Ovis aries: one gene and its partner. The protein of the gene in region 1 interacts with the protein of each later gene in a pairwise test. Links are inferred from orthologs where the notes say so. Each region holds a gene or a part of one and is shown in the gene's direction. Other genes may lie near its edges. The genes, in order: AQR and ZNF830.

Region 1 (3,817 bases):
TAATATGATATGTCCTGGTGTTTGTATGTACCCATGACTATATTCGAGATAATGAACATATGCATTATCCTCCCTAGAGTTTTCCATGTACACCTGAATAATCCCTCTCATCCCTCACCAGTTCCTATTCCACCTTCTCCAGGAAACTGAGGATCTACTTTCTGTCACAATAATTAGTCACCATATTTTAGATGTTAATAGAAAGAGACTCAAACAACGTGTACTCTTTTTCCCCTACCTGTTATTGCTCAACATTATTTTAATATTCATTTGTACTTCAGAATGTATCAGTAGTCCTTTTCCTTTTATTGTTGAGTAAGTAATCCATTATACAGATATGCTAAGTTTACCCATGCATCATTGATGGACATTTGGGTTTGCCTCCAGTATTGGCTCTTATAAATAAAACTACTATGAACATTCTCCTACAAGTCTTTGTACCTTCTCTTTGGTAAATTTCTAGGAGTGGAATGGTTGGGTAGTATGGGAAGTATGTATTCGACTTCTTTTAGGAAACTGCCCACCTGTCTTACAAAGTTGTTGTCGTTGGTCAGTTGCTAAGTCGTATCCATCTCTGCAGCACTGTGGACTGCAGCTCGCCAGGCTTCCCTGTCCCTCACTGTCCTGTGGAGTTTGCTCAAACTCATGTCCGTTGAGTCAGTGATGCCATGCAACCATCTCATCCTCTGTCACCCTATTCTCCTCATGCCCTCAGTCTTCCCCAGCATCAGGGTCTTTTCTGATGAGTGGCTCTTCACATCAGGTGGCCAAAGTATTAGAACTTCAGCATCAGAGCTTCCAGTGAACATTCAGGGTTGATTTCCTTTAAGATTGACTGGTTTGATCTCCTTGCTATCCCAGGGACTCTCAAGAGTCTTCTGTAGCACCACAGTTCAATTCTTTGGCACTCAACCTTCTTTATGGTCCAACTTACATCCATACATGACTACTGGAAAAACCATAGCTTTGACTATATATAGTCTTACAGAATTGTACTATTTTATATTCCCACCAGCAGTGTGTGAGTGCTCACACATACCTATGCTTGGTCTTCTTTATTTTAGCATTCCAGTAGGTATGTAGTGGTCTCATTGTGGTTTTGATTAGCGTTTCTCTAATAACTGTTGATGACCATCTTTTCACGTGGTTATTTGCCTTCTGTATATCTTCTGTGAGGATGTGTCTGTTTAGATCTCTCACTCTTTGGGGTTGTTTTATTATTAAGGAGTTTTGAGAGTTTTAAATTTTAATCTGACTACAAGTTCCTCATCAGATGTTTGTTTTTACAAATATTTCCTAGTCTGTGACTTTTTTTTTTTTTTTTCATTTTTAGGTGTCTTTCAAGTCCCAGTATATCAAGTTGTTTCTTTGTGATTCATGCTTTTTATGTCCTAAAAGCATTTAGCATTACCCAAAGTTATGGTTTTATTCCAGTGTTTCATTCTAGAAGTTTTATAGTTTTTTTTTTAATATATTTATAAGTATGATACATTGTGAGTTAATTTATTTGGTGCAAGGGTTGAATTTTTCTCATTTGCATGTGAATATACAGTTGTTTCAACACCATTTCCTGAGGAGGCTGTTTTTTCCCTCTGTTCACCTGACTTTTTTTTTTTTTTTTGAGATTAAAAAAGCAATTTTTCAAATTGAGATCTAATTGACACTTAATTTTCTTTCAGGTGTATAAAATAATGATTTGAAATTTCTATTCATTGCAAAACAATCACCACAATAAATCTAGTTAATATCCTTCGCCACACTAAGTTACATGTTTCTTTTTTTTTTCTAATGTTGAGAACTTTTAAGATCTTACCTTGTGGTCTTAGTAGAAAAAAAAAAATTCATTGACTGTGTATGTGAGAGTCTTATTTTTGGGTTTCTGCCTTGCTCTATTGATCTTTGTGTCTTTCCTTTTGCCATTACACTATCTTTCTTAGAGTTTCTTTACAGTAAATATTGAAATTAGATAATATGAGTCCTGAAAATTCCCTTGGTGGTCCGGTGGTTAGGAAGGACACCACGCTTTCACTGCCAAGGGCACAGGTTCAATCACTGGTCAGGGAACTAAGATATTGCATGCCACACCTTACAGCCAAAATGATGATAATGGTAGTGTGACTCCTTCAGTTTTGTTGTTCTTTTCCAAAATGTTTTTGCCTATTCTAGTTCCTTTGCTTTTCCCTTTACATTTTTGAATCAGCCTATCTCTTTCAGTCCCTAGAAAAAAGCATGCTGAGGTTTTGATGAGGATTTTTGAGTGTTATTGCTTAGGATCAATTTGGGAGAAATTAACATAACAATAGTTAGTCTTCCTTCCCATGAGTATGATATCCCTCTCCACTATATTTAGGTCTTCTTTGAATTCTCTCATCGGCGTTTGGCAGCTTTCAGCCTGCAGCCTTCATACATATGTTGTTAGTTTTATCGCTAAGTATTTCACATTTTGTGCTCCCATTGTGAATATGCTTCTAAATTTTTTTCAGTTTCCAACAAGAGAAACAAAATTCCTAAAGAAAGAAGCCAAGCCTTAGCTCTAGAAAGGGAAGCCGGGTATATAGGGCTGCTCCAGTGCTCCGGTTAAGTGGGACAGAAGCCCTGTGCCTGCTGTTCTCTCCCAGCCTTGTCTCAAGGCTTGGTTCATCCTCACCCTCACAGCGCCCGTTGATTGAAGTGGGCCCTTTCTTGAGTTGGTGTGCCAGTCAGTCCTAATCAGCCACTCTTTTCCAGTGTTTATAATAAGTTCCTTCATGAAAAAATTTAATTGCTTTTGATATTGGTTTTTCTCCCCGAAGATTTAATATATATTATCTTCTTATTATCTGATATCTGTGTCAGCATATTCCATGGAATCAGCAAAACCTAGGCCATTATCATCAGAGTTGTTACCTCTGCAATATAAAACAGCCCTCAGTGTTTTGGAGCTTTCTAGAGTGACAGTATCTATTAGGAAGATAATGCGAGAGCCTAACTTTATAAGCCAGGTGGGTTTTTTTATTATTATTATTCATTAATGTTTCCCTCTTTTTTTTCCTTCATCAGACTTTATTACAGCTACCACCTGCTATGGTAGAAGAAAGTGAGGAAGTTCAAAGTCAGGAAACAGAATTGGAAACAGAAGAAGAGGCCATGCCTGCTCAAGCTGACGTTGTACCTGATAAAGCGACAGATGCCAGCTCCAGTCAGGAAACCTCAGCCTCTGAGACTGAAACCACCCCCGATCAGACCGGAGCCAGCTCCAGTCCAGAGGCTATTCCTGCTGAGTCTGAGATCCCTGGCACAGGACTGGTAACTGTACCAGCGGAGAATAACACCCCTCACAATGTCACATCCACTCCCAGAGAAACCGAGTAGCCAAGCTGTAGCCCTTCTTAGAGAGGACATTTCATTAACAAAGTCGTAGGTAAAGTTACTTCTTGTATTTTATATATGCTTCTGCCATTATAATGGCACTGGTGAATATTCAGTCCTTATTTTTGTTAGCTGATTGTCAATGTTTGTCTTCTTGGATATATTAAAAAAGAATGTATGTGTGTGAACAACTCCAATTTTATTTGTTCAATCAGAAGAGTGAATAACCATTCCTTTGCTATTTTGATCATTAACTATGTCTGTAATCATACCCACATTAGAAGAATTTTGTGTGGAATAGTAGTTCACATTTTTAGTGAACTTCTCTAAAAAAAAAGGATAAAATGTACTGGAATTAACCATAAATGACCTTAAGCAAGTATCCAAATTGGGGAGGAAATCATTTCTTCTATCATAGTGTGAGATGATCAGATCATGTTTCTTTCTGTCCTTCATTTCTTTGCTGTCT
Region 2 (4,501 bases), on another chromosome or scaffold:
ATCTCTAATCTGGACTACTTAGCATCCTGCTATTTCTGAATTGGAATCTACCCTCCACACTGCATTTATCTTTCTAAAAGACAATGTGATTCAGTAAGCTACCTGAAAAAAAAAAAATTCCTTCCACAATTTTCATGTTCTCCATCACCTTCAAGGTAAAATCCAAGCTATTTTACAATGACATAGTTTACCTTTCCCAATTTGGGGAATGTCTATTCCTTTCTACTTCTTCTACCAAGTGAGATCTTGTGGGAAAATCGTGTGGTTCCCTTAATAAATCATGTTTGATTTCGTTTCTGTTGGATTTATACCATTGGGCTTTCTTGGTCCTGAAGTTATTCTATCTAGACGGCCTTTACTCCCTTCTCTAACTGGTGAACTCTAATCCTCTTTCAAGATTGAGGAGAAATTCTATTATTTGAGAAGCTTTCCTTTCTCCCTTCTGTCATCAGTTATAATCCCTTTCCTCAGTACAATATATGCTAATACATATATGTGTGTGTGTGTATATATATATATAACCATTAGCACATTCATCTCTACCAGAACTCCTTAAGAACAGAAACTGTAGCTTGGTCATCTCTATATTCCCAGCATCCCAACTAGAAATAATCAGTGCCCTCTTTTACTGTTAATATTAATTACTCTGCTCATTCTTCTGAGACTGTATCTCTCCTGTTACACTTCATCATTGCCCTCACTAGTCTCTTCCCCTCACTCTTTTTTTCCTGGTCACACCACGCGGCGTGACGGATCTTTTAGTTCCCCCACCAGGGATCTAACCGCTCCCCCTGCAGTGGAAGCCGGGAGTCTTAACCAGCAGACAGCCAGGGAAGTCTTTTTCCCATCCCCACTCTCTTCTAAAGCAAATAATGGTCCTAAATAAATACATGCTAAAGGATGAACAGATATGATGAACCGTATGCACAGAGCTTTCAACTTGCCTAAGGACCTAAAATCTAAAGGAGAACTTGGATTTGAACCCAAGCCTGCCAAGCTCCAGAGCCCGAGCCCTCTCCACTACAGCACACTGCCAAACAAAACCCAAACTCTTTAAAGGCAAGAGAGCTAGAGAGCTTATGTTTCATTCCAGACACAGAATGAACTTTTAACTGCATATGAACCTAAACAAGAAGTTGGGGGTGGGGGCGGGGGGTGGTCGCCGCTTCACTCGTGAGCCCTTTCTTCGGGGAGCATTTCTCCTCCTCAACCAGGCAGGAGATGAACTCAGGGCAGGAATGAAAACGAGGGAAAGCAGGCCCACAAATGCGTCCACATCGCTCCAAACTGCGGAACCTCTGCCTCACAGGGCGCCCCGACGCCCAACAAACCCCGATGCCCTAACCGCCGCTCCAACGGCCGTCTCACATTTTCATGGTGCCCTTGGGACCCAAGTTGGTCCGCAACACATCCTGCAGCCCTCGGGCGGCGCATATATTGACGGCCAAGGCCGCCTGGGCTCGTGCCACCTCAGCCTTGGAGTTTATGGCCTTTATCGCAGCCATGAACAGAATATCGGTGAAGCGACCCTACAGGCAAAAATCGCCTGTTACTGAAGGGATATACGTTACTAAAGGAAATCTGGGCGCCACCGCTCACGTCCCGGAGCCTCAGCCAATCCGCGTCTGGACAGGAAGTCACGTCATCAGGCGTCGCCGGGACGGAAGCAAGGATCGCCTCCGGTCGGATCGCAAAGATGGCGTCGTCCGCCTCAGCTCGGCCTGCCGCGGGGAAGCGAGTGGTGAATCAGGACGAACTGAGGCGGTTGATGAAGGAGAAACAGCGTCTGAGCACCAACCGGAAACGGATAGAATCTCCATTCGCGAAGTACAACCGCTTGGGGCAGCTGAGTTGTGCCCTGTGTAACACTCCGGTTAAGAGCGAGCTCCTGTGGCAGACTCACGTCCTGGGAAAGCAGCACCGAGAGAAAGTGGCCGAGCTGAAAGGCGCGAAGGAAGCAGCCCAGGGCCCGTCCGCCACCGCAGTGCCTCAGTCCACCAAGAGGAAGGCGCCGGACTCTGAGAGCCAAGATGCCAAAAGAGCGAAGGCCTCCCTGGTTCCTCAGGTACAGCCCTCCACGTCCGCTTTGCCCACCAACTTCGACAAAGCCGGGAAGGAGTCCACTAGGGCGACCGTCGGTAAGGCTTCGGGACTCGGTTTACTCCCTGATTATGATGACGAGGAGGACGAGGAAGAGGAGGAGGGAGGAGGAAGAGGAGAAGGGAAGAAGGGGGATGCCTGTAAGCAGCCGTCCAATTCACAGAGCAAGGAACACTCACTCTCTTCCTCGCGGGAGGCAACTGGTAGTAGGCTGCCAAGCAATTTCTCGGATACAAATCCTCCCAAGGCCCCTTTAATCCCTCATTCCGGGTCAATTGAGAAAGCAGAAATACATGAAAAAGTAGTGGAAAGGAGAGAAAACACTGCGGAAGCATTACCGGAAGGGTTTTTTGACGACCCTGAGATAGATGCGAGGGTACGAAAGGTTGATGCCCCAAAGGACCAGATGGACAAAGAATGGGACGAATTTCAAAAAGCTATGAGACAGGTCAACACTATTTCCGAAGCCATAGTTGCCGAAGAGGATGAGGAGGGACGGTTGGACCGACAGATTGGGGAGATCGATGAGCAGATTGAGTGTTACCGTCGAGTGGAGAAGCTGCGGAATCGCCAGGATGAAATAAAAAATAAGCTTAAAGAGGTTCTGACCATAAAAGAACTGCAGAAAAAGGAAGAGGAGAATGTTGACAGCGATGACGAGGGGGAACTACAGGATTTATTGTCTCAGGATTGGAGAGTGAAGGGAGCTTTGTTATAGGGTTTCAGAGACCCACGATTTTGTACTGTTGTGTAGAAAGTGCTGTCTCAGTACAGTACCCTTTACTCCATGCTTAGAGACTTGGTAACCTAACTGGATTGTTGAGATACAATGAGCCTGCGAAGAGACCACTTTGGAAAATTGGTGTAAAATATTTTTGAGGTAGAGGTGTTTTTGAAGTATTACATACTTAAATGCCAGTTTTTTCACACACTTATATAGCTAAAGTTTGGGTTGTAAAAACTGTAAATGTTGTACATACTAAATATATATTTACTTAAGAATTCTGGTTTGAAATTTATAAATTAATAGAAGTCAGACTAACAGACAAGCATTTAAATGAAAACCAAGTGTGGCGTTTGCGGTATATATGACTTGTTCTTTTCCAACTCCCTAAATCAAATTCAAGGTTATTTTGTTGTTTTTAAGAACACTGCTCATGAATAACAAGTTATTCAGAACTAATTAGTTCTCTGTTTTATAAAACCATGTTCCAAGAGAACATAGTGAAAAATACATGCCAAGCATGATCAACTACCTTAATCCAGAGTTTCTGTATTAAACCAGTAATTCTTGGTTGTAGGTGCACATGAAAATTTCATGCAAAGTTTTTTAAAAAGTGTACGTGAATCATGTGTGAAGCTTTTTTTAAAATTCATGTGCCCCTACCATTGAAGAGATTCAGTAAAGCTAGAGTGGGGCTCAGACACCTGTATTAGTTTTGATAGCTTCCCAGCTTCTGTGAGAATTCCCAAATGGTCCAGTGGTCAGGGGTCTGCACTTCCACTGCAACCGGCGCCGGTTCAATCTCTGGTACCCTAATCAGGAAACTAAGATCCGGGAAAGCTGTGAGGCTTGGCCAAAAAAAAAAGCAAGCTTCCCATTATTCTAATAAGGCTAAAATTCGGGCACCACTGTGCTAAATCCAGAACACATTTACATTTTCCCAGCCTTTTATTTCTTTAAATGACAAATCCCACAAGTTTACTGTCGCATAACAGAAATACTATGTTTTATGTATATTCCACCTAATCTTAGATTTTATTGTTAAATATTGTGGTAAATTAGGGTTCAGAGTTAACAGGTTCTATCAGTTGTAAGAAGGAGGTAATAGCTAAGACTTTCTTTCAGTATAAGCCAGGCAGAGTTCTAAGTGATTTATATAAGCTCAGTCTGATTTCCCTGAAGCCCAGGTTTTAGGTCCAGGGTTAAGGTATGAAAAAGCCTTGAATGTTGAACAAAAGAATTCTTCCTACAGACACTGGGCAAAAAGAAAGTTTTCAAGCCAAGAGTTACATCTGCAGAAAATACGGAAGATTATTTTAGTTGCAGTATATAGAATGGAATGAACATGGGTAGGGGGCAGGAAGCTGGGAAACTACTTGGAAACTAGACTTTAAAAGCAAAGCAACTAAGACTAACTAGGTATGTACTGAAAAAAAGGTAATAGAATTAAAGAATTTCATAGGAAGAGCTAACATCTTAGTGACTAGAAGTGAAGAACAATAGAAATACAGATGGAATTCAGGGGTTTGGAGTTTTTCTAGTATGGGTGCCTGTAAGAAGTTATCTAAATGCTTCCAGAGCATTTTAATTGTCCTATGCCTTTGGCAAAAAGGCTTTGCTTTCCTGATGTGTCCCGCTGATCTGACAGTAACTTCAGTTTGATAATGTAAAGGGTAT

The links.
Region 2: the proteins of AQR (region 1) and ZNF830 interact in a two-hybrid assay, tested with the Homo sapiens proteins (2 studies listed by BioGRID and IntAct, with this or other methods). The link is inferred for Ovis aries from reciprocal best matches to the Homo sapiens genes AQR and ZNF830.

Annotation. Positions count from the first base shown.
Region 1 is NC_056060.1:28,540,069-28,543,885, reverse strand, and holds part of AQR (RNA helicase aquarius), read left to right. Parts: intron 1-3,039; coding exon 3,040-3,351; 3' UTR 3,352-3,817.
Region 2 is NC_056064.1:14,834,368-14,838,868, reverse strand, and holds the start of ZNF830 (zinc finger protein 830), read left to right. Parts: upstream 1-1,668; 5' UTR 1,669-1,696; coding exon 1,697-2,818; 3' UTR 2,819-4,501. Other genes in the region: CCT6B (T-complex protein 1 subunit zeta-2), read right to left, coding at 1,369-1,505.